4 linked regions of the Arabidopsis thaliana genome follow. The protein of the gene in region 2 interacts with the protein of the main gene of each other region in a pairwise test. Each region holds a gene or a part of one and is shown on either strand. Other genes may lie near its edges.

What was found.
Region 1: the proteins of ABCB19 (region 2) and PIN1 interact in binary tests that used the Arabidopsis thaliana proteins (3 or more experiments, as listed by UniProt).
Region 3: the proteins of ABCB19 (region 2) and EIR1 interact in a two-hybrid assay, tested with the Arabidopsis thaliana proteins (one study listed by BioGRID).
Region 4: the proteins of ABCB19 (region 2) and TWD1 interact in a two-hybrid assay, tested with the Arabidopsis thaliana proteins (one study listed by BioGRID).

The regions. Positions count from the first base shown.
Region 1 is NC_003070.9:27,657,694-27,663,815, reverse strand, and holds PIN1 (Auxin efflux carrier family protein), read right to left. Parts: upstream 4,144-6,122; 5' UTR 4,045-4,143; coding exon 2,799-4,044; intron 2,647-2,798; coding exon 2,412-2,646; intron 2,224-2,411; coding exon 2,138-2,223; intron 1,488-2,137; coding exon 1,330-1,487; intron 1,234-1,329; coding exon 1,157-1,233; intron 1,007-1,156; coding exon 940-1,006; 3' UTR 563-939; downstream 1-562. UniProt on the Arabidopsis thaliana protein: Acts as a component of the auxin efflux carrier; this activity is enhanced when activated by D6PK-mediated phosphorylation.
Region 2 is NC_003074.8:10,874,515-10,879,491, forward strand, and holds the start of ABCB19 (ATP binding cassette subfamily B19), read right to left. Parts: upstream 3,065-4,977; 5' UTR 2,773-3,064; coding exon 2,518-2,772; intron 2,437-2,517; coding exon 2,382-2,436; intron 1,507-2,381; coding exon 1,331-1,506; intron 713-1,330; coding exon 512-712; intron 279-511; coding exon 19-278; intron 1-18. UniProt on the Arabidopsis thaliana protein: Brassinosteroid exporter that, in conjunction with ABCB1, supports the accumulation of exogenous brassinosteroids (BR) in the apoplast, thus promoting BR signaling initiation involving the specific receptor BRI1 and required for plant growth and stress responses.
Region 3 is NC_003076.8:23,098,883-23,105,856, reverse strand, and holds EIR1 (Auxin efflux carrier family protein), read right to left. Parts: upstream 5,342-6,974; 5' UTR 5,093-5,341; coding exon 4,823-5,092; exon of another isoform or gene 4,672-4,822; intron 4,575-4,671; coding exon 4,272-4,574; intron 3,892-4,271; coding exon 3,447-3,891; intron 3,050-3,446; coding exon 2,780-3,049; intron 2,482-2,779; coding exon 2,214-2,481; intron 2,127-2,213; coding exon 2,041-2,126; intron 1,966-2,040; coding exon 1,808-1,965; intron 1,685-1,807; coding exon 1,608-1,684; intron 1,468-1,607; coding exon 1,401-1,467; 3' UTR 629-1,400; downstream 1-628. Other genes in the region: AT5G57080 (uncharacterized protein), read right to left, coding at 6,489-6,551, 6,773-6,898. UniProt on the Arabidopsis thaliana protein: Acts as a component of the auxin efflux carrier. Seems to be involved in the root-specific auxin transport, and mediates the root gravitropism. Its particular localization suggests a role in the translocation of auxin towards the elongation zone.
Region 4 is NC_003074.8:7,618,320-7,623,242, forward strand, and holds TWD1 (FKBP-type peptidyl-prolyl cis-trans isomerase family protein), read right to left. Parts: upstream 3,159-4,923; 5' UTR 3,032-3,158; intron 2,801-3,031; 5' UTR 2,779-2,800; coding exon 2,742-2,778; intron 2,462-2,741; coding exon 2,285-2,461; intron 2,170-2,284; coding exon 2,080-2,169; intron 1,840-2,079; coding exon 1,655-1,839; intron 1,544-1,654; coding exon 1,421-1,543; intron 1,281-1,420; coding exon 1,128-1,280; intron 1,039-1,127; coding exon 706-1,038; 3' UTR 532-705; downstream 1-531. Other genes in the region: CERK1 (chitin elicitor receptor kinase 1), read right to left, coding at 1-211; AT3G21650 (Protein phosphatase 2A regulatory B subunit family protein), read right to left, coding at 3,361-3,747, 3,840-4,923. UniProt on the Arabidopsis thaliana protein: PPIases accelerate the folding of proteins. It catalyzes the cis-trans isomerization of proline imidic peptide bonds in oligopeptides.

The sequences.
Region 1 (6,122 bases), on a different chromosome or scaffold from region 2:
TTAAATCAAGCCAATATTTTTAGCAATTAAATGATTTTCATGTCGAGAGTACAATTCAAACCAAGTTAAGTATTATACATTTGATTTATCATTATATAAGATCGTCGTATAAATATGAAGGTTTGTTTTTATTCATAAAAAGCATCAGCATCTAAGTGGTATGTAATGATTCTGAGAAGAATCGGTAAAAGGATACACAATTGACAACACTAAACGAATCTTTCAAGATTCCACAAACGCAGTGAAGAGGAATCTTGACCAAGTCGAATAACGTAACGCATGCACCAAGTCCCCTATCTTCTACATATTTAATCGAGTGTTCTGTTGAATCCAATACTCGTGTCGTCTGTGTTGTTATAGTCACATGCTATTTCATACCTTCCCACCTAAGCTATTGTAAAGTTTCTAATATTCATGACTACGTTTTAAATTTTCCCAAATCCCCCGTAGAAATCCCTTTCTCAAACATTTTGTGGAAGATGTACTTTACTGTTTTAGTTTCTGATTTTTCACATTTAGGCAAACGAAACATAGAAATGTTAAGTGAACTTAACTTTTGAAATGGCTAAAACACTTCTTATTTTGGTGAGATTTAGACCTATACACACCAATTCACTTTTAGCATGCACACAAAATTTGATATTTTCCTTAACGTTTTTAATTCACTAAAAGTAGCCAAAGCTTTTACAAATTCCTAAAACCTACCAAAAGAGGAAACACGAATGTTCATTAAAATTAAGAAAAAGGTAAAACTTGCTGAGCTCCTACTTAAGTCTCCTTCTTCTTCTCTTCTTCAAGAGCTTCAATTATCCTCAAAGATTCTCTAAAGCTGCTTCTGATTTAATTTGTGGGTTTTCAACAAAAAGGGCATTGTTCTTTTCACAATTCATCATCCCACAAAAGAATAAAACAAAGTCCCTGTGTTTTGGTAATATCTCTTCATAGACCCAAGAGAATGTAGTAGAGAAGAGTTATGGGCAACGCGATCAACATCCCAAATATCACCCTGCAACAAAAATCAGAACTCACGTTAACAAAAATATATTTATATATACACCTAATCATAATTAATGTAGGCAAAACCAACCTAACTTTTTTTCTACAACAAAATTTATTGTTATAACAACAAAACTATTTAATAGATTAATAAACTTACGCAGTGCTAAGAATGTCAGGATGCACATTATACTCTTTGGCAAACACAAACGGTACTATTCCTTGCGGCAAAGCTGCCTGTTTGTTGTCAATAAAAATAATGGTTAGAAATCGTATAAACGACAGTAGACACAACAGAAGTGTTTCATATTTGATCATGCAAATAAAAACTACCTGGATAATGGCAACATGGAGGAGGACGCCACGGAGGCCAACGGCATAAGAAGCAACGAGCATGACGGCAGGTCCAACGACAAATCTCATAGCCGCCGCAAAAGCTGCTCTTCTGTTTCCACAAGCTATTATTCTTGGGTTTAACGCCATGAACAACCCTTTAACACATCCAAAAAAAGCCACAAATTTAAACAAATAATTTATTATTGTTTTGCTTTTTGGTTAATTTAAGTTTATACACTGTTTTTAGCTGCAAAAGAGTGACATAAAAATAATCATCACAGCCACTGATCCACCACCACAACATTAACATCATCATTATCGTTATCCTAAACTATTCATTCCATAAAGTCATGATTAAGCACAAATTTTATAATCAGTTGATGGAAGTCTACTGAAACATAAACAAGGTAAAAAAGAAAGTTTTTTCATCGATAAGGGGGTCAATATTAGGTATAAAAAAATTGTTTGTTGCTTTAAGAGAAAATAAAAAATGGTTCCTCCTATTCAAGGGAGAGACATGTTATGATGATAAGCAGAGAACTGTGGAGCATGCTTTCTGCTGTGAAGCCAGTTTTGTTTGCTTTTTTGATACAAACATGTTTCAAAAAAACTTCAAAGAAAAAGAAAACAGAGAGAATCATGCTTCCACATGATTTGTTTTTTTTCTTAAAATCATTTAAAATTTAAAAAACACCATAAAGAATGAAGGTCAGAAATAAAGAGAACAATTGACTGTTTTATGGTATTTAATTATGTAATAAATGAAAAGAGGTAAAAATAAAAGAAAAGAGAAAAAGGAACTGACCAAGACTGAACATAGCCATGCCTAGACCTGCATCTGAGAGTATGGAGATAGACTTTGCTATAAGAGCTGGCATTTCAATGTTCCACCTGCACAGACCACATCAATTTAATTCCAATAAAGAGATCTTTCTCAAATCTTTTGTTACTTCAATCTATCAGAAAAAACTTTCAAACATATACGCATTCAAGGCTGACCCTTTATGCATCAAGAAAGTGGTTAAAATAGTAGACCAAAACCAAAGTAAAGTGAAAATAAGACAAGTTTGAAACAGTACTTGAAGGAAATGAGGGACCAGGTGATGCCGAATAAACTGGAGTAAGAGTTGGGATTACGAATAAGTTTCCTCCAAACCATAATGAGAATGAGTCTTGTCATCACACTTGTTGGTGGCATCACCTTAGCCTGCGTCGTTTTGTTGCTTATGTTGTTCCCACCGTCCGTTGCCAATACTTTGCTATCATCGTCTTTGTTACCGAAACTAAACTCTTCCCTCTCCACGTACTGGTTGTCTAAAGTAAGGCAACAACACATGTAAACAATTAAAGAACCCCTTAACCAAATCATAAATATCGAAGGACATAGAGAAATTTTGGGGGTGTTTTTGTAAAGAAAATAAATTAGGGTGCGAAAACAAAACAACAAAGTTATAGAGGGACTATACCGTTACTATTCCCCTGAGGTACAGAGATCTTAACGTCCTTTTGATGATCGTTCGTAGCGGTGGAGTAATCGGCGTGGTGGTTTCCTCCTCCACCGCCGAACACATCTGAGACCGGCGAAGCACTTGAGCTCCACACAAACATGTGAAGATCTCTTCCGTTTCCGTCTTGTCTTTTCCCACCAACCACCGGAGCGTTTCCTTTCGCCGCCGTGCCTCCACCACCGCCAGTGTTGGGCGAAAACATCCCTGGGTTCGGCGCCGGATAATGCGCTCCTCCACCGCCACCACTTCCTCCAGATTGATAATGAAACCTCCCAGCTCCAGCAGCAGTTCCAGCAGCCGTCGGTTTAGCAGGACCACCGTCTTCTTCGTAGTTGGAAGGTCTCGGAGTAGGACCTTTAGAACCAAACACAGCTTCTCCAGGACCAAAGTTAGAGTTCCGACCACCACCAGAAGCCATCATCGAGTAAAAATCAGTATGATTAAAACTAGAGCCACGTGGCGTTGGGTTTCTTGAACTCTGAAGCGAATATATCTCAGCGTTGGTTAGATTCGAAGGTCTAGGTGTCGCAGATAAGCCTTGAGACCTTCTCGAGTAAATATCAGACCTTGAAGCATTAGAACGACGAACAGTAACATGAAGCTTCCCATCTTCTTTAATCTCAGCTTCAGTTTCCAAAGGTTGTCTTCCATCTAAAGACATAATGTCGGAATCAACATGAATCGAAACAATAGATCCTGCTGTGTCTGGAAACTGCTCGGAGATCAAAAGCTTAGCTCCACGGTACTCAAAGAGAAAGAGCATGAGTGTGTACCAAATGATACACTGAAGAACAACGATTTGAACCATGAGGTCGCCGGAGAAATTACCATACATGCCTTTGAGAAGAGGTATCCCCATGACTAGAGTGTTGGGGAGTGTCGAGAGAGAGAAGAGAGTTATGGTCCAATCTAAAGAACCGTTGCGGCTGAGTTTGCACCAGAGGAAGAGGAGAGAGAGGACAATGACTTTCTGGAGAGAATCTGCGGCGAGGAAACGGAGGTTCATGGCGTAAGGGTTGTTAGCGGCGATGAAGTGGAAAGAGAGGAGAGGAACGGCGAAGAGAGCGACGAAACGGTTTATGCCGGAGCATTGGTCTGGTGTGAAGATTTTCCACCATTTGACAGAGCCGTAAGCGAGGATCATAGCTACGTATAACGGAACCATAGCCGTCATAACGTGGTAGAAGTCCGCCGCCGTAATCATCTTTTGTTCGCCGGAGAAGAGAGAGGGAAGAGAGAAGAGCTTTTGTCTTTAGTTTGAGAGAGAAGTGGTGAAGAGGGAAAAAAGAGTAAAGTGAGTGTTGAGAAGAGACCACATTTTTATATTCTTTTTATTTTATTTTTTTGTCCGTTGAGAAAATACCATATTTTTTAATTAAACATATATATATTTTGTTAATGAAGCTAAAACTGTTTGCTGATTTTATTATTTTCGTTTTCGATTATTTGGTTAGTTTCTAGATATTATATTCAAAAGTAGTTTACGTGTAGGAGTAAAAAAACATTAAATGTAAAATTGGAATAGCTCAACATATTTATTTGTTTTGTTAAACATTCCAACATAATAGTGTGTGTGATGTAATTTTGATTGAAATACGACAAAAAGAAGTTTTTTTGAATGTAATAAAAACGAAATAAAAATGGTGGTTGATGGGTGCGTGGTGGAGCTTTGGGGATAGTGAAAGAGGCGGCCTTGTGCGCTTTGCGGAGTCCAAAGCAGAGCCTCTGTTTTTGCCTCTCTCTTTTTTTTTTGGCCTTTTCAAATTATGAATTAATCTATTCGGTTGATCAATTTATCCCCTATACTAATTATTAAATTTATATTTTTACCATGTTTAAAAATTGTTAAATTTATTTTTGCTATAAATTATTGTGATTAGTATGATGGGATTTTTGGTATTGACTTTCAATTGATAAATCACAACAGAAGATAAATACACATTGAAGTGATGATATAAGGCTCGATTTGATGTTTATATGAACTTAGAAAATTTTGGTTTTAAAGATAGAAGTCTTCTCCGAAGAGAGGTTGAAAGTCTTTGGAAAAATGGTTGCAATTGAACAAACTAGTTCCTAACCAAAGACTTTGTGGGTGGAGATAAAAGAAAAGATGTGATATCACTAACATAAGGTCGAAATCACTTTTTCATGTGAGATGGGTGTGTGTGAGTTATCATTGCATAGGTTATCATTTACAGTTGTAGTTGCGCATACGAATTATTTATGAACTATTCAATCCTTTGATCGCTCATCTTGGAACTTATTTTCTTTTACTGTTTACTGTATAACATTACTAACAAAGTTTTATAAAATATATTTCGTTGAGAAAATTAGTAACAAAGTTTTATTGAACATAAATACGTAGAAGTTTTTTGAAAGAAAAATGTTGAAAAGAGGGTGGTTCTGGTTTGCTTACACAAATCAGTCTGATGTGTTCTTTAATACTACTAATAAAGTCCGTACAAAAAGCAATGGGTTGATGATATAATGAGGAGTGTTGATATTTGAGGAAACACAATATTCCATCAACAGTCTGCTCTTCATTTTTCTCATCATCCCATACAAACACAGTTCTTCTTTTTTTTTTCTTTCCAGCTTTTTATTTTTCCAATGTTTTCAACTTTTTTTTAAGCATAATAATAATATATAGTACTAATATAATTCGACTTTCCTTGCCATTTCTTGCGCTTAAAGAGACTATACACACAAAAAAAGTAGGTTATGCAATCCGAATAAAGTAAATATGTTGAGAAGTTACGAAAAAATAAAAGAGTTGATGACTTAACATCATTTTTCTATTAAAAATTATAAATCAAGTAGTTTCTATTTTTTTTTACTGACAAATAATTTTAAAATTGGTTCTTTGAAAGAATTGAATTTTTAACACGGCAAAAAAAAAAAAAAAATTGCAGGATTTTTTCACATTCCATATAGTTAATGATATTTTGGATCTTTCAAATTATTTGTCACTAATCCATTAATCTTTCAATCTTTTGTTGTGCAAATCCTTGTTACAACTGCGACTTTGTGTAATATTGAACTCAAATTAACGTTTTTTCTAATACTCTATGTTTGCACGGCTTGACTTATGGTTATGGGTGATGGATGACCTTTTAGCAAATACTTGAAACGAGAAAATTAAAATTGATCTTTTAGCAAACACTTGAAACGGGAAAAATGGAAAAGAGAGTAAGATAGTTTGGTTTAATAAAGCAAATTTTGACTAATTAACACTTTATGATCTATATTGACCTGCTTTAATATACATAAAGTGAGTCTTAT
Region 2 (4,977 bases):
TATGTTTTGAATTCTTACATTCCACCAACAATAGCAGAGAATATAGCAGTAAACGCCTTTCCTCCATCGGTTTGTCCATTCCGAATAAAAACTCCAGCATACCAAAACACCAAAGCCCATGACATACAAGCTATTCCATAAGTACATCCTAAACCCAACCCTTTAGCCATCCCCGCTTTATAACCGAGCTTAAGCGTATACTGAATCGCATCCGAATACGCATTAAGTGCCTTACTCTCTCCAACATAAGAATAAACAGTTCGAACTTGAGCAATTGCCTGAGAAACCAAAACATCAATCATTAACCGACCAAAGAAAAGCAAAGATTTTGAATTAGTGAAAACACTGTTTAAGTCTTTGGATTGCATAAGAAGCAATGAAAAAAAAAAAAAATCATTTGAGAGATCAAGTACAAAGAAGCAAGCCTAAGAACAGTTAAAAAGCATTACGTCGAACAGTTGGTGGGCATTAAATAAAACAAATAAAGGAACAAACTTTAATCTTTATTTACCTGCTCGGCGATAACACCGGCGTTAGCATAAGATTCACGGCTCTTTGAAGTAATTCCGGTGAGTGTATAAGCGTATAAACCTCCGGCGAAAGCGATTCCGGGAATCACAGCAACACTTAACAAAGCTAATTTCCATGCTGATACAAATCCAACTACTAATCCCGCCAAAAATGTTGAGAGGTAATGTATAAAGTTTCCAACCTGAGAAATTCAATTTTTTTTCAACTACTCTGTTATTAATTCACTTCATCAACAATAAAAAAGAGTGATGATAATAATGAAACTAGGGGACCCAGTGCATGTTAGCTCGTGCTTGCTAACGTGCACCACAGAGACAGGACCAAATTGCAAAAAAAAAAACAGTTTTAGATAAAATGTACTATTAAAATTTGAAGGTACTTTACACATTTTTTTTAATAACAAATATTTATTTTACTTGTTAAAGAAACATTATTTTGCATAATAAATATTTTTCACAATGGAAAAAAAGAAGCTATTTTTATATTAAAAATGTAAGAAAATGAGTACTATATCATTTAAGTTTTAGTTAAATAGTGAAAAAAATCCTCTATTTCTATAGCAAATTTGTAAAAAAAAATTACTTATTTTCACAATCTTATGAAAAAAATCCAACTTTTATTTTAACAAAAAAAAAAATCAATCTATAGTCTTTTTTCTTCCCTAACCACCTGAGGCGCAAGATAAACGACGGTTGCTAACATAAACGGACCCAAAACTTTGATAAAGATTGATCATGAAAAAAATGGGACCCGCCGGTAAATACTAGATTTTGTTGGTAGTAAAAAAAAAAATGGTTACCTTTTCACTAATGGCATCTTGAACAAGAAGAGTATCAGTAGAAACACTAAAGACAATGTCACCAGTTCTAGCATCAGTATCAAAGAACCCAACGTCTTGTTTTAATACTGCTTCAAGATATTTCTTCCTTAATGCTGCTACTTGTCTTTCTCCAGAATACATCCAACATGCTATCTCTGTAAAATTATTTAACAAAAAATTATGGTTATTATTACAAGAATTTTTATGAAGTTGTAATAAATGTGAGAGAGATGCCCATTTTTTTTTTTTTTTCGATATAGACAAAGTAGTAGTCCATGAATCACGTGGACTTGGCTTATCCTTTTAACATATTAAAATTTTTAAAAATTTGAAGTGTTTTTTTTTTATATATAATTTTGATTCTCTCTAGATTGTGATTTCTGTTTCTAGGTTTTTATTTATTGAAGCAAACATAAAAAAGTTGGGTTTTTGTTGTAGAGTAAAAAAATGTTTACCAGAGTAAATGATCACTTTGTGGAAGAATCAAATAAAAACTCAAAAATTACACCTTTAGATTTCTTGTCTATAAAAGCGGTTGGCACGGAAAGTTCGTTCCGAACCCCATTACATCACTTATGTAAACAACATTCTATAAAAATGGTTTTTTTAGTTCTAATCAAAAGCGAATGACAAAAAAAACAAGATTTTAAACAAAGTTTAAGCTTTCTTTTTTTAATATAATTTTGAAGCAAACAAAAAAAGAAGTTGGGTTTTTGTTGTAGAGTAAAAAAAAATGTTTTACCTTCAGAGTAAATGGTCACTTTGAGGAAGAATCAAATAAAACTCAAAAAATACACCTTTAGATTTCTTGCCTAATAATCTGATTTAATTTATGTTAATGGGTTAATTGGTTGAACCAAAAAAAAGAAAATAATGCAAATGTTTAATCTAAACTTTATTAATTTCTTGATCTTGTTTTCTTTTTTTTTTGTGCAAAAAATTTCTTGATCTTGTTTATAATGTGATTTAATTACTGGGTTTCTTGATTGAAGAATAAAGAAAAAGAAGATTGGATTTGTAAGAAACAAACCTGCGTAAGAAGAGAAGCAAACGACCAAACCCAAGTAGACGAAATATAGAGAATACTGCAAAATTTCACAAACACAAAAATTAGATCAGATCTTGGATCTAATTTGATAAAAACAAGAAAGAAAAAAAAGACTTACTCTAGAGACTTCATGAACCATTTGATGTAAATCCATTTGGTTTTTACCAAATCCATTAACCATTTGACCAAAGAGTAAAAAGAAGACAGGCATGGAAGAGCCATGAACAATGGCACCAAGAGAACCAACGAACATTAAGAGATAATCAAATTTATCAGCGAAAGAAAAGAGTTTAAAGAATGGTAAACTCTGTTCTTTCTTCTTCTCTGCTTCTGCTGGAACAGTCTTGGCATCGGTTGTGTTAGTTTCCGACATGGTTTTTTGTAGATCCGAGTTAAAGAAAGTAAGAAGAAACGAGTTGGTTTAGTGAGAAAACGAGATCATTGAGCAGTGAGAGAGAGAGAGAGAAAGAATGAAATGTTTTTTGTTTTATAAAGTTTTTCTTGAAAATCTGACAATTGTTTTGTGAAGTTCAAGAACTCTTTTACGAGTGTCTTGTTTTGAAGTGGTGAGAAGAGAGAGAGAATGAGAGTGTGGTTGGAGAAGGGTGTGATTGGTATATATAGGAGGGAGAGAGAGTGATGAAGACTAGTGGTCAAAGACTCATTGAGACATGAGAGATTGAGAGATTCGTGTTGCTAGTTGATGTAATTAATGTTTAACATTTTGTAAAATGGAAAAAAAAAACAATTAAGGGTTTACTTTGATTTTATTGGATTGTTTGAATTGACTAATTTGTGTTAATTAATGTCATTTTAGAAAGTTTTTTTTTTATAAAGATCTTTTTTGTTAAAGTTATGTTGTGTTCAATTAATATTTTTAAAGTACTACAAATCAAAATCTGGTGTGATTCAATGGTTTTGCATAAGTAGAGATTTTAACAAATCTGCAAGCATTTTTTCTGGTCAAACTATGAAATGGGAATTTTATTGAACATGTCATTGTATAAAAATTCATGTTTAGAGTTAGATATAATCCAATGAAAGTTTGATTACAGTTTTTTTTTTTTTTGGTCTAAATAATTTTTAAACAACATTAGATATTTTATATTTTTATATTGTTACATTAAGAAAACTTGATTTTTGTGTAAATACATATATATATATATATATATATATATATATATGTATAGACAACTTGTCTAAAATTATATAGAAGTATTTCTATGGTCAACATATAAGTATACAAATTTTAGCTCAATTTTTCATTTAAATAAGTAATGTTTAAAACTTTGAAATGTATAAATCCATTAAAGTCTTCATCACAATGATGATGTACTTTGGTTTCTGTCTAATAAGTTTTGAACAACATCATGTATTTTGTATCGTCACATTTAGAAAACATCATATATTTTATTTAATAATTTCTATTATAACTTGATTAATAATTTCTAAAAATTTAGGAAATTTTTTGATGTATATCCAATTAACTCCTTATGACAATGATGAAGAACTTTATATTTTTACTAATAAGTTATAAATGACATCATATACATTATATCATCACACTTAGACAATTAGTATAAAGTTATATGATTCAAATCATAGGGTAAGCTAATCAGTAGCGATTACTTTTTGTGTTATAATAAGCATGTCAAGGGGATCATTACCTTTCTTATGACTACCATTTCATTATCTCCATTTTGTGATAGATCAAGGCTGAAAAATCATACAAATTAGAACGTTATCGAGTATAAATAACAAATGATCGATTAGCTCAGACCATATCATGAAAAATAGATGATCTCTCTGACTCTCTCATACGATTATCTGCATACTAAACAAGCATATGCTATTGCACCCAAACCCGAGATATCGAAACTGTGGGAAGTCGATCTTTAGCAGAAAGAATATCGAGGGATCACTTGTGCAAACCACACAGTTTTACACAATACCTATTATCGAAGGATATATAACTAATCATTTGTTTGAAAAATATGTGTGAGTTTCTCTAGTAAAAATATTAGGATACAAATTTTAGTTAAGTTGTCATTTTAAAATTTGATGTTAAAATCTTTAACTGTATATAAATTCATTAAGTGCGTTTACCAGAATGACGCCAAACTTTGGTTGTTTTATAATAATTTTTAAACAACATCATGTATTTGTAATGTCACATTTAGACAACATCATACATTTTCTAATAATTTTAAAAATTCATGTTTCAATTTCGATATATAAATTTTTGCAACTAATATAAATTCAAGGATCAGCTAGTCCGTTACTGTTTGGTGTTATAACGCATATGTTTTTTTAAAAAAATTCAAATTTATGTTCTTCTCTTGTTTATGAAGTGTAATTTGTAGTACGATACCTCTTATTAGAGTGGTAGATTAATTTAATGGAACATCAAACATTTGGTGAAGGAACTCCAATAAGAATTATGAAGTGGAGAAGAATATGAAATATAATATTTACAACAGATAACCGATTATAACCAGGTCCATTTGTCTTGATTTTTCTTATGTTAAATTCTTGTATATATCGAAAATCTGAGAAAAGTTATGCACTAAATCTATAG
Region 3 (6,974 bases), on a different chromosome or scaffold from region 2:
GATTCACGATGAGACATTATAATAGTAAGGTGCCTAGAGAGACAAGAGCTGTCACTGAGCAAATGTTGTCTCCTACTCAATGCACAAAACCTTCTGAAAACATCAAAACGTATAAATACTTTTACCCTTAGTATACATATGCTATTTCTCTTACGCACTTCATTGAATAATAAATATTTTTACGTGTAAACTATTAAAAGATCTATTGTCAGATAAGTCAGAGGTCAGGACAACTATATAGAGAAGAATTGTTATTGAATTTCTCATGTGTTGTTGTTCGTTCAATTACGTTCCGACCAAAGAGCGAGTTCCAACGTATATCTCATCGTTTTGATACCCCACGTGATCGTTTTCACGTTACACAGTCAACGCCTCCAGAGCCAAGCCATCTTTTCTAGTACATTACATTTACATACTTAAATTCAAGCGCCGATCACCGATACGTTTTGAGGAGCTCATAATTAATCAAACGCAAGGAAAAAGAAGAAAAATAATTTCTATTTCATAAAAACTTTGGACAGTTTGGTTGAAAAGTTTGATCACTCGTTAAGATATTCACACATGTTAGATATGCACAATTTGTCTATAACGCAAAACTTATCATCAGCAACTATCTTACTACACAATCAATTGTCTAGACTAGTGCTTTCATTTGAAATGTTTCTTTCTCCACGCAAATTCTTTGTATCACTCCAAAAATAGTCCGAGTGATATCTTATTGGTGACAGATAAGTATATACTAAAATAAAGGAAAATTAAATTCTATTATAAGTTTGATTGTTCTTTACTCATCGAATTAAAATGCGACTACCTTCAAGCTTCAACCGAATATTACGTTCATAATTTTTTAACAAAAAAAATAACGTTCATAATTAACTTTACATACAAACAAAAACATAAATATATAAGACAAAAGAAATGAAATAAAAAGGTTATATGTGGAAGTATTAGTGCATTTGATCCAAAACAAAATAAAGAATTGTATGGAGATTTAGAAAAGCACAAGATCTAATCTAAACAGACTGCGCGATCTAGTAATACTTGACTAGTATATGATGAAATATTAGTGTAATTTAATAACATGCTTCACGACCATCGATAAATAGAAAAAACTAATCAATAGTAAATAATTGTACTTGCACATCCCAAAAATTTAATAAATGTAACAAAAACTACAAAGTCACGTACATGCATGTGCATATAATTAATTATACAAAGTTATCTAAATTTTCGACTATCATATGCTATAATTTAATTAATGCGACATTGCATGGTCCCATACACCTAAGCCTGACCTGGAATTAGTCTTTTTTCGTTCTTGTAATTATTCTTTTTCGTTTGAAAAAAAATCACCTTTGGGTCGTATCGCCTTTTATTTGCAAATACGTTTTGATAATAACTTAAAGCCCCAAAAGAACGTAGTAGAGTACTGTTACAGGCAAAGCAACCAGCATTCCGAATATAACCCTGAAAAATAATATCAAGTTTTTAGCTTAGGAGATCTCTGTAACTTTGTATAGTTTGAATACCAAATTAATATCTTATATATAGTATTAAAATGAAGTTTAAGAATGAAAATTAAATATTTTATAACTTAAATAACTTACGCAGTGCTGAGAATATCAGGATGGACGTTATATTCTTTGGCGAAAACAAAAGGAACGATTCCTTGAGGAAGAGCAGCCTTCAAAACATACAATTATATATATTCTTATCAATTATATTTTTCAAAGAAACCCAACATCACTAGCTAAAACATCAAACTGTAAGTTAGATTGAAATATATATAAGACTAAAGAGTAATCACCTGAACGATGGCGATATGGAGGAGATCACCTCGAATACCAATTGCTATTGAGGTGGCTGCGATCACGGCTGGTCCAGTCAAGAACCTTACGGCCATCGCAAACCCTGCTACTGATTTTCCGCACGCAATAATCTTTGGTTGCAATGCCATAAATAGACCTATATGTATCAATAATTAGCAAAAAAAAAAGCACCAAAGACTATAACTAAATATATATATGAAGGGAACTATACCAAGACTAAACATAGCCATTCCAAGACCAGCATCAGATAATATCGAAATCGATCCACTCATTATCGTTGGCATCTTTATATTCCACCTGTCCCATAAAATGATCAACAACATCAAGCAATTGCCCAAATATATTGTTATGTTATATGATTGTGACATTATTATTAGTACTTACTTGAAAGAGACAAGGGACCAAGCAAGGCCAAAGAGACTAGAGTAAGTGTTAGGGTTTCGAATGAGTTTTCTCCAAACCATTATCAGAATTAGTCTCGTCATCACACTCGCCGGCGGCATCTGCTGTTTCCTAGGACCGGGACCGCCGTCTTCCACGTCGCTACCTTTTTTGCCCATGTAAGGTGACTTTCCCCCGTTATTACCGTCTTGGTCCATTTCCACATGCCCTTTTCTTCCCGGTGACATGTTCTCTATCAGATTCTGCATCGCTGTCATCACCAAGTATGAATATAATTATAATTAAATATCACAGAAAATACTAAACTAAATTTATTATGACCTTTCTTCGACCAAAAAACTAACTTATAGAAAGCCGTACGGAACCAAATAAAAATCTACTTTAATTAGTTTAAAAGTTTTCATAAGTTTTGAAACTTTGAAAAAACTATAAAAAAAACTTAGAACCGATATTGAGCTTTATACATTTTTCCTAAAAGTTAAAAAAAAAATAGAAGCGTGGCAAGTAATGATAAAAAAAAATATGAAATAAGTTGGAGATTAATAAACCTTTAGTAGCGAGGTTGTCGTGAGGAGGAATAGAAACTTTAGGGTCGGTGGATACATCGGTGGAAGAACCTCTGGTCATAGCATTCTTCGCGTTGGCTTCCGACACCGGAGAAGCACTCGAACTCCACACGAACATGTTCATCTCCTTGTTTTGTCCTCCTACTCCTACTCCGCCACCGCTTCCTCCGCCACCACTTTCCTTTTTCTTGACTCCACTTGCTCCACTCGTTGACCCCGTGAACATTGGGTTCGGCGGTGGGTACGACGGAACTGACCATAAATTATAGAAAATTTTATTTTAAAACATTACATTATAATGAAAAAATCACATTTAAATTTCAAAATACAAAATTAATATTTTGTTTTCCAAAACTATAATCAGTTTAAAAACCTAAGAGTTTTGGAAGTGATATACTAAATTATTATTATTTTGTTAAAAGAAAAAAATAATTACGCAAAATTATTTGATGAACTCTTTACTTAACTTTTAAACCTTTTTAAACCTAATAATATCCCACTTATAATCACCGGTGACTGATGGAAAATAATAATAATATCTGAATCGATTCTTATATCTATTTAAATTTATAAAGAAGCAAAATATATTTTTTTAAAAAAATAAATAAAAAATAAATATATATATATATATATATTAAAAAATTCATACCACTATTATTGTTGTATAATTCCCCACTCATACTTCTGCCTCCTCTTCCTGCTTTCTTCGCCGTCTTCATAACTTCCTCATCAAAATTTGACGTTCTCGGCGTCACGCCTTTAGAAGACTGAAGTGAGTAAACATCTCCACCTGGACCAGCTCCAGCGCCGCCGTAGCTATTAGTGTAACCGTGACGAGGGCTTGGAGCTTTGCTTGCGTTAAACATTGCGTAGAAATCTGTCTGATTAAAGCTAGAAGCTCTCGGCGTCGGCTCTCGTGACGATTGAACGGAGTAAATCTCTACGCCGGTGAGATTTGAAGCTCGCGGCGTTATCATGGAGGAGTTAAGTCCTCCGCCGTGAGATTTGTTGAATGAAGAGATCATTGATGAGGCGGCACTTGATCTTCGAACCACCACGTGTAGCTTTCCGTCGTCTCCTATCTCCGCATCGGTCTAATGAAAGATAAATCCATATTTTTAGGTGATGAATTTCGAGTCGATGTGATTTAAACCGGATATAACCGAATCGGTACAAAAAGAATGAAAATTCAACTAGACTATAGTTAATAACTTGATATTTCTTATATTGTACTAATTATTAAATTCTGCGTGAATAATGTAACACGTCACTTTGAAGATTATTTTTGACTTCTGAAAAAGGAACTCAGACAAAACTCAAAATTTGTTATAGATTTACATAGGCAAAAAGGAATCCCAAAATGACATGTAGTCATGTCGTAACTAGTAACTACCCATTTTCTAGTTTACTTGAGTTAACCGGTCCGTTAATTTGAACAAACATATGAAAAAGGTCATCAGTGAAAAATTCATACCTGGAGGGGTTCACGGCCATTAAGAGAGATAACATCAGAGTCAACTCTGAAGGAAGTAATTGAACCAGCCGTCTCCGGGAACTGCTCGGAGATGAGAAGCTTAGCCCCACGGAACTCAAACAAGAAGAGCATTAATGTATACCATATGATGCTCTGAAGCACCACGATCTGCACCATTAGGTTACCGGAGAAGTCTCCGTACATCGCCCTAAGCAATGGGATTCCCATTACCAACGTGTTAGGCAGTGTTGATAGTGAAAAGAGCGTTATCATCCATTCTAGGCTTCCTCTGCGGCTAAACGCCTAAAAAATAATATCACAATATATACACAAACATGAGAATGTGTGTGTTTAGAGACACATATTACAAAAGAGCTAAAATGTTAACTAAAATATTTACCCGTGTTAAATGACATAGTTACTATACTATAAGCTTTCGATAACCAATATGTTTTCGAGTAAAAATTGACCATCATAGCAATTACTAGTAGACTACCATCACTTAATGAAGATAGATTATGTGCATAGAGAGATTATTGAAAGAGACGGGCCTGCCAAAGAAAGAGTGCGGCGAGGATAACGACTTTCTGAAGAGAATCAGCAGCGAGGAAGTGGTAATTCATTGCATAAGGATCATTGGAGGAGATGAAATGGAAAGAGAGAAGAGGAACCGCGAAAACCGCAACGAACCGGTTTATACCGGAACATTGGTCCGGTGTGAATATCCCCCACCACCGTACCGAACCATAGGCTAATATCATAGCAACGTATAGCGGCACCATAGCCGCTAAAACATCGTACATGTCTTTGCCGGTGATCATTTTGATTTACTTTTTCCGGCGAGAGAGAGAAGAAGAAGAAAAATAGAGATATAGATGAGTATATGTGGTGTGAAATAACGTATTTATGGACAAGGAAGTGAAGTTCCTTGAGACGATATTTAATTAATGTTGTTTGTGTTAAAATAATGGGATTCGTGTTCAAACATTGAATTATAGCTAAGCTTAGCTAGAGAGGATCGTTGGACATTTGAATATCAAATAAACAAAATATAAACCAAAATGCCTTTTTTCTTCCTCGGCATTTTGTGAATGGACAAATACTAATACAGTAATAATTTCAGTCTGAATCTTCTTTGGTCCATAATTTTTCGAAGTGCTCTAGATTTTTTCTTTTTTTCCGTTGATACTAGATATTCCTTCTATCTTTATTACTTCTGCAAAAAGCCGTTATATTTAATTTGAAGAATCTTATCTTGGGATAAGGAAGATTGGTTTACCTTCTGTCTCGTGGTCTAACATTATTTGTAAGTAAAATTAAATGCTTCAGAGATTATAAATTATAATTACACAAATGTTAGATTCAAAATATCTGTAGAGTCAGATACTTGGATCCACTTGTACGTGTAATACAAATTTGTAAATTTAGATTAGATTTTATATTAATAAGAAAACAAATTTGTAAATTTAGATTAGGTTTTATATTAATAAGAAAACAAAAACGATTTTTGTGTAAGCTATTGAGACGGCGAAGGTTGATGGACATGCACATGGTTTTTGCGAGCATCTTACTACACTTTCTGAGCGATCTGCGGTTCCCTGTAAACATCTGATTTTTAATCAGGAAAAATACAATTGTAATTAACTTATCTTTTAATCTTGAAACGGTGTATTTTTGTTTTTAAACGAAAATCTCTTAATGATTTATTATTAACTACAGTCAAAGACATTGGCAATTGGACCGATGAATAATTAGCCTCTCTTCCATATTTAATTGTCGTGTTTTCTTCATATTGCAATTGTTAACGTATTTATCACGCCACGTGATTGGGCGTTTGGGCCTAATGGACCTATGGATCTAACGATGGAGATACTAACTAGATTATCACTAAAATCTCTTTTGAAGTTCCAATATGTATCGAAGACATGGTTTTCCACAATCCGTAGCAAAGACTCCATCAATTCGTTGGTCTCTATGTCATCTACACGATCATCGCGATTTCTTATATCTCTTTAAAAAAAACGGTGAATTGACCAACAAGAAACCTAAAAAGAGTTTGTTCTTCTTTACATCTTCACAAGAGGAAGAAGAATAAAAGCCTTTAATAAGTGATCTCAGTTTTAAACTTTATCCATGTTTTTTTGTTAACTCATGAATTGAAAGAGAACAACCAAAGTGAATGTAGCCTGATAAAACAGGATGAAACTATTGAAAGATTCAAACTTTGTTTACAGAATCATCCTTCTTGGCCACTTCACTACTTTCCAACGGTGGTAAACTCTGCACAAAAGTAAAAAGCAATCAGATTACAAATCTCTCATGGGCAATTCATCGAACACCTTATGTGCATTACAATAAAAGAGAGATCACAGAGCCAGAGAACGAAATGAATGGTTTTAAACCGATCACGCTTATGGGCATTATCAAGAACGAAGAAAGTGAGCAAACCTAATACATTTGAGAACCCTAACATATGTACAGAAAGAGAAGGTGAAGCTTACGAGATCTGGTTTGTAGATGTTGTGGACAACGGAGGCTCCGGCGAGAAGGGAAGCAACGACGACGAGTGTTGACATTGCCAGAGACGGAGTTCCCGTCGGCAACTTTCCTTTATACGGTTTCTTCATCTTTGGCTCTGCTTTTTGACTGAGCGCGCGATATGAAGAGAAATTTGAAAAGCTTTTCGAAATTTTGAACCATCAT
Region 4 (4,923 bases), 3.3 Mb from region 2:
TGTTGTACCTGAGGATTGGATCGAAATTGATTTGATCGTAAGGCGCGATTGAAGAATTGAGGTTTTGGTTGATGACGGAGAGTGTTGTTCCGTTCTCGAGATAGTACGAAGCTAGAGCTAAAGGACAGCTAGTCCTGCACTTAGATTCCACGGCGAAGAAGAATGAGAAGAGAAGAAGAATCGGAGCGATTAGAGAAATCTTTAGCTTCATTTTGAAGCTTCCTTAGATTCCCCAGAGGAAGGGTCTCTGTTTTTTTTGTTTCGTCGTTGCTCTGTGGGGAAGAAGATGGATTCAAAGACGAAAAAGGTTGACTTAATCAAACGTTGACTATTTTTTTCAACTAAAGAGAATGATGATTACTGATTAGTGTTTGTTAATTGTTGAGAAGTTTCTTAATTAATTAATAATACTAAGATCATTTAATGCAACTAGCAGCTGGAATTTGAAAGTCTTTGGTCAAAGACAAAAACTATGAAGACCGCCATTTCTGTTGAAGGAAGTAGATTTTACGTTCGAATTTTGTATGTTTTTTGTTAAAAATTTATTTTTTTGGATCAAAATATAAAGTTACTTTATAATCGAAAACAATAGAGACTATTTTTTTTTCTTATATAAAATATTTTTCAAAATTCTCACTAATAAGAAATGGGGGTAGATCTTTCACGTTGGTCTTTTAGAGTTGAATTGTTACCCTTCTTCATACATTAATCTGCTTTAACTCTGTGGCGTCGAAAGATACGGGAGAAAAGGGAAACAAACCATTGCCATAACACTATCAACCAAAAAAGGCTCTTTGACTTAGCACCACCTTCATCTTTCCCTTTGAATATTCCTTTGTACATTTCTTTCTGCTTTTGGTACAAGGCTTTCTCTTGCTCTGCAAGTGCTCGTAGCTCTCTTCTAATCGCCTTGTCGTCAGGAGCATACTTTTGTGCCTTTCGGAAATCATCACGTGCTGAGTCCATCTGTCCTAGCTCTGCCTTTGCTTTCCCTCTTCTGAACAGTGCTTTTGGGTTTTTCTCTTCTTCTGTCAACACCTGATAAGGTTTTGAGTTTGATTAGATTTCGAGAAACCGAGTATGAACTTTAATGATTTTCTTCAAATGAATGGTTTGATGAGTCTTACAATGTTGCAGTGACCAATTGCTTCATCGTATCGTTTTAGTTTGATGAGGCAAGCTGCTATGTTAAGATGGCATGGGTTTTTAACTGCTAAAGCCATATCCTGGTACTTCCCATACAGCTGAAACATAAAATCGTCCCCCATGTATGCTATGGCCTGAAACAGCAAAACCATGACTAATCAAAAGCCGAAAGAAGACACAAGAGCCTCGAGCAGACTCACTAAGTATGCCTGAAAACCTAAACTTTGACCGTAATTGTTGGAAAGAGAGATAGAGATAGAGAGAGATGCATAACCATTTCATACTGTTGCATGGCTTCCTCCAGTTTCTCCTCCTTAAAAAGAGAATTCCCATCCATTTTTCTTCTGTCTGCTGCACCAATCCTTTCCTCTACAGTCATATCACTGCGAGCTTTTCCCTGTTCAATACATCATCTAAGTCAGAGAGGTAAGCAAGGAGGTTGGGATAAAGCTTGGATGTGGAGTCGTCTTGGTAAGGAAACAAGATGATGGTATAGGAAATAACTTACCTCCTTTGTTTCATCAAACCCAATAACTTCCACCTCATATAACAAGTCTGCCATAGGTGGAACATTCGGAAAAGAAAAGTTTCCTTCTTTCCCATAAGCTAATTCCCAGCCAACATGCACAAGCGCACGTTCACCAGACTTCATGCTAGCAACACCGATGGCTAAACCGGCTAGTTCTTTTTTCTCTGTCTCACAGACAACATTTCACTCTTAGTGCACAATCTTTTTTATAAAAAAAATTGTATAGTGACGTTAAAATGGGCTAATCAGCATTGAAGCAAAAAAAATACAAAACTCAATCTTTTTTCCTCCCAAATATCCATCTCATTGGGTTCATATAATACACAAGCTAACTCATCAAATTTACCAATGACGATTCATCTAACGAAATGGAGGTGTAGAGTACATATTCGACAGCCACATACCTTTTCCAAGAACCAATTCAATAGGTTGCTGCTCATGCCATGTATCCTCAAATTTGTGCTGCGAGTTTTTGGTCCATGCCCTGTAGTGCACTATGGCCAATATGAAATTGGTCAGATAGAAAGATTCAAATAAACAGTAGCAATAGGCCAACAAGTGCAATCGAAAAATCAACATCCAATCAACAGAAAGCTAAAGGGTACTTACAAAAGCATGTAGAGTACTTGGATGGTTTGGAACCGTGACCTTCCTTTATAATCTGCTTACTGACTTTCTCATCCAAGACCTCAGCTTCACTATCAACTTTAGGAGGAACATTACCCTCTTGAGATGGCTCACTATGCACAACGGCACTTCCTTCAGTAACTATTTCGCTCTCTTGGTCTGGAGCCACAAAAGATGCATTAGTCAACCCCAATAGTCATTCTCAATTCTTAACAAACAGAAAAGGAGTTATCAAGTCTAACAAATTTGTTGTATACATGCTTTGTTCCAAGATTCACAATATGATTTAGAAAGAATAACGCAGTCAACATAATTTGATAGACATTTATCCTTTAACAAAGCATCCAATTGAATATGGGACAACAAAAAAACTCCAATCAAACATATTGAAGTCATATATATGTATTCAGAGAGATTAAATCTATGAAAATTTACTTACCATGTGTTTGAGTTTGATGCTCCAGAGATTCATCCATTATTTCCCAAATCAACCTGGGTCTGAATAAAAATGTGCAAGTGTCAATCCAAAAATTGAATCTTTAAGTGTTGAATTGATTAAACATCGACCAAATCAGACAAGTAAGATTCAATGACAAAAACCCAAAAGAACATAGTCGAAGTCAGCTACTTGAACCATTTCATTTCAAAACAAAATCAAGTCTCGTCGTCAATAATAGCAGAAAACGAAGAAAAAGTTTGTCAATTTAGAGAAGAGGAGAGTGAACTTACGAAGTATGAGAAGCTCAAGAGTAGTGTGACTCGTCGTCGTCGTCGAAGTCACTCACGAAGACTGGATCGACCGAGAGATAAATTTCAGATTTTGATTCTGAAAATATAAAGAGACCCTTCGACTTTTCAGTTTTCACTTCAGAGTCAGCCGTTAACTAACGAGAGTTTTAACGGCGTTTATTATAATTCAGTAAAATAATATCAAATATTCTCAATTTGACCCAAAAGATTATAATTTAAAAAAATAATTATACAGTCGTCTCTCAAGAACCATTTCTATAGTGACCACAAATATTTGTTACAAGTACATAGTAACCTACGAGAGCCTACTACGACCCTGTGGACTCAGAGCTGCTTGTAGTAAGATTGACTGAGGACACAAATCTTGGAACCAGTACTGCCTCGTTGGTTACAACGGTCTTTGAAGTAGCTAAATCTTCTAACCGTTGCCATGTCCTTTCCCGTTTCGCTTTAACCTCTGTTTTATTCACTTCTTCTACTTGGAATTTGGCTAAACACTCGTCGAAAAGAACTTGGTCAATCTCGCATAATACTTTCCTCACGTTTATAGTCAGACTTTGAACTGCTTGGTTCCAATGTCCACGCGTGTTTCTCTCAAGAGCTGGGAAGACTATAGGCATTATCACTTTATGGTTCTGAGTGATCAGGTTTCTTATGTGATCGTTGTTCCATAGAAACAATGCTCTTTCAGCAACCTGACAAACAAAAAGTACAACTTCATATATAGGTACAAGACTTTATCAAGAGAGATAGATATGAAGTTGTGATGATAGTCAAAGACTCGAACCTGGAAATGTGAACTGTTGAGGCATCGAGCAATTTGTCGGGATAATGGAACCATACAACGTTGAAACTCAGCGGCTTGAGTTGCTTCCAAGACTTCTTCTAACTCTCCAAGAAACATAACTTCCTTTGAGCTGTTAGTCACAGGCCAATATTTTAAAAGACCTCTAATAACGGTATCAGCGAGCTTGAAGTCCTTTTCTACAAACTGAACAATGCAATACGAAAGCTGTTGGTGATAGACTGATGAACATTTAGGCTTGTGGAGAGGAATCAAGGCTCGCAAAAGGAAGAGCTTGTGCTCTTCTTTTAAAGGCAAAGCAAAACCATTAATTATACTTCCAAGAATCTCTAGCAACTCCGCAATGCCATTATGCTTTTCAGTCTCGGATATGAATCTGTAGAAGATATTGTTTATCGCCTTTCTGATGTAAGGTCGATGCACCATGAACTTCCCGTACACCCGATGCAGAATAGTTTTTAGATATTCCCTCTCTCTTTGATCTTCAGAATCAAACAAGTCTAAGAGCTTCAAGACAAAAGAATGGTCAATATATCTCTTGGCAAGCTTTGCATCAGTCATGGGAGAAGCCACGAATCTGAGAAGAATCTCATACACAACTTGAACATGAGGCCAAGCTGGCTCCAAAGAAGGTTCTTCATCATCCATATCATGTATTTCAAGAATTTTACTCTCGTGATTCGCAGAAGGAAAAGTTCTAAACAGATTAACCGCTACCATCTTCGTTAACTCTTGCATCGAAACATCGTTAAACTTAAAACCAACTGATGCAACATAATCAACAAGCTCAAGCAATGTCTGCCTCTTAATCTCTTTCTCCTTAAGGTTCTTAGACGGATCACTAAAGTCAAAAACAACACAGCACATACTCAACTTCCCGATAAAGAGATTCGGTTTCTCCGATATAGGAACATCTCTAAAGCTAGGCAAAGCCTCATAAACCCCACCAGAAGACGGAAACGGTCCAGCTTGTACAACAGCATCTCCTCCCAATGGTTTCTTCCCTTGATTAGTATTCCTATTAGAGCTCATTGAGTTAGGAGCAAGAGTTCCATTAGCTACACGC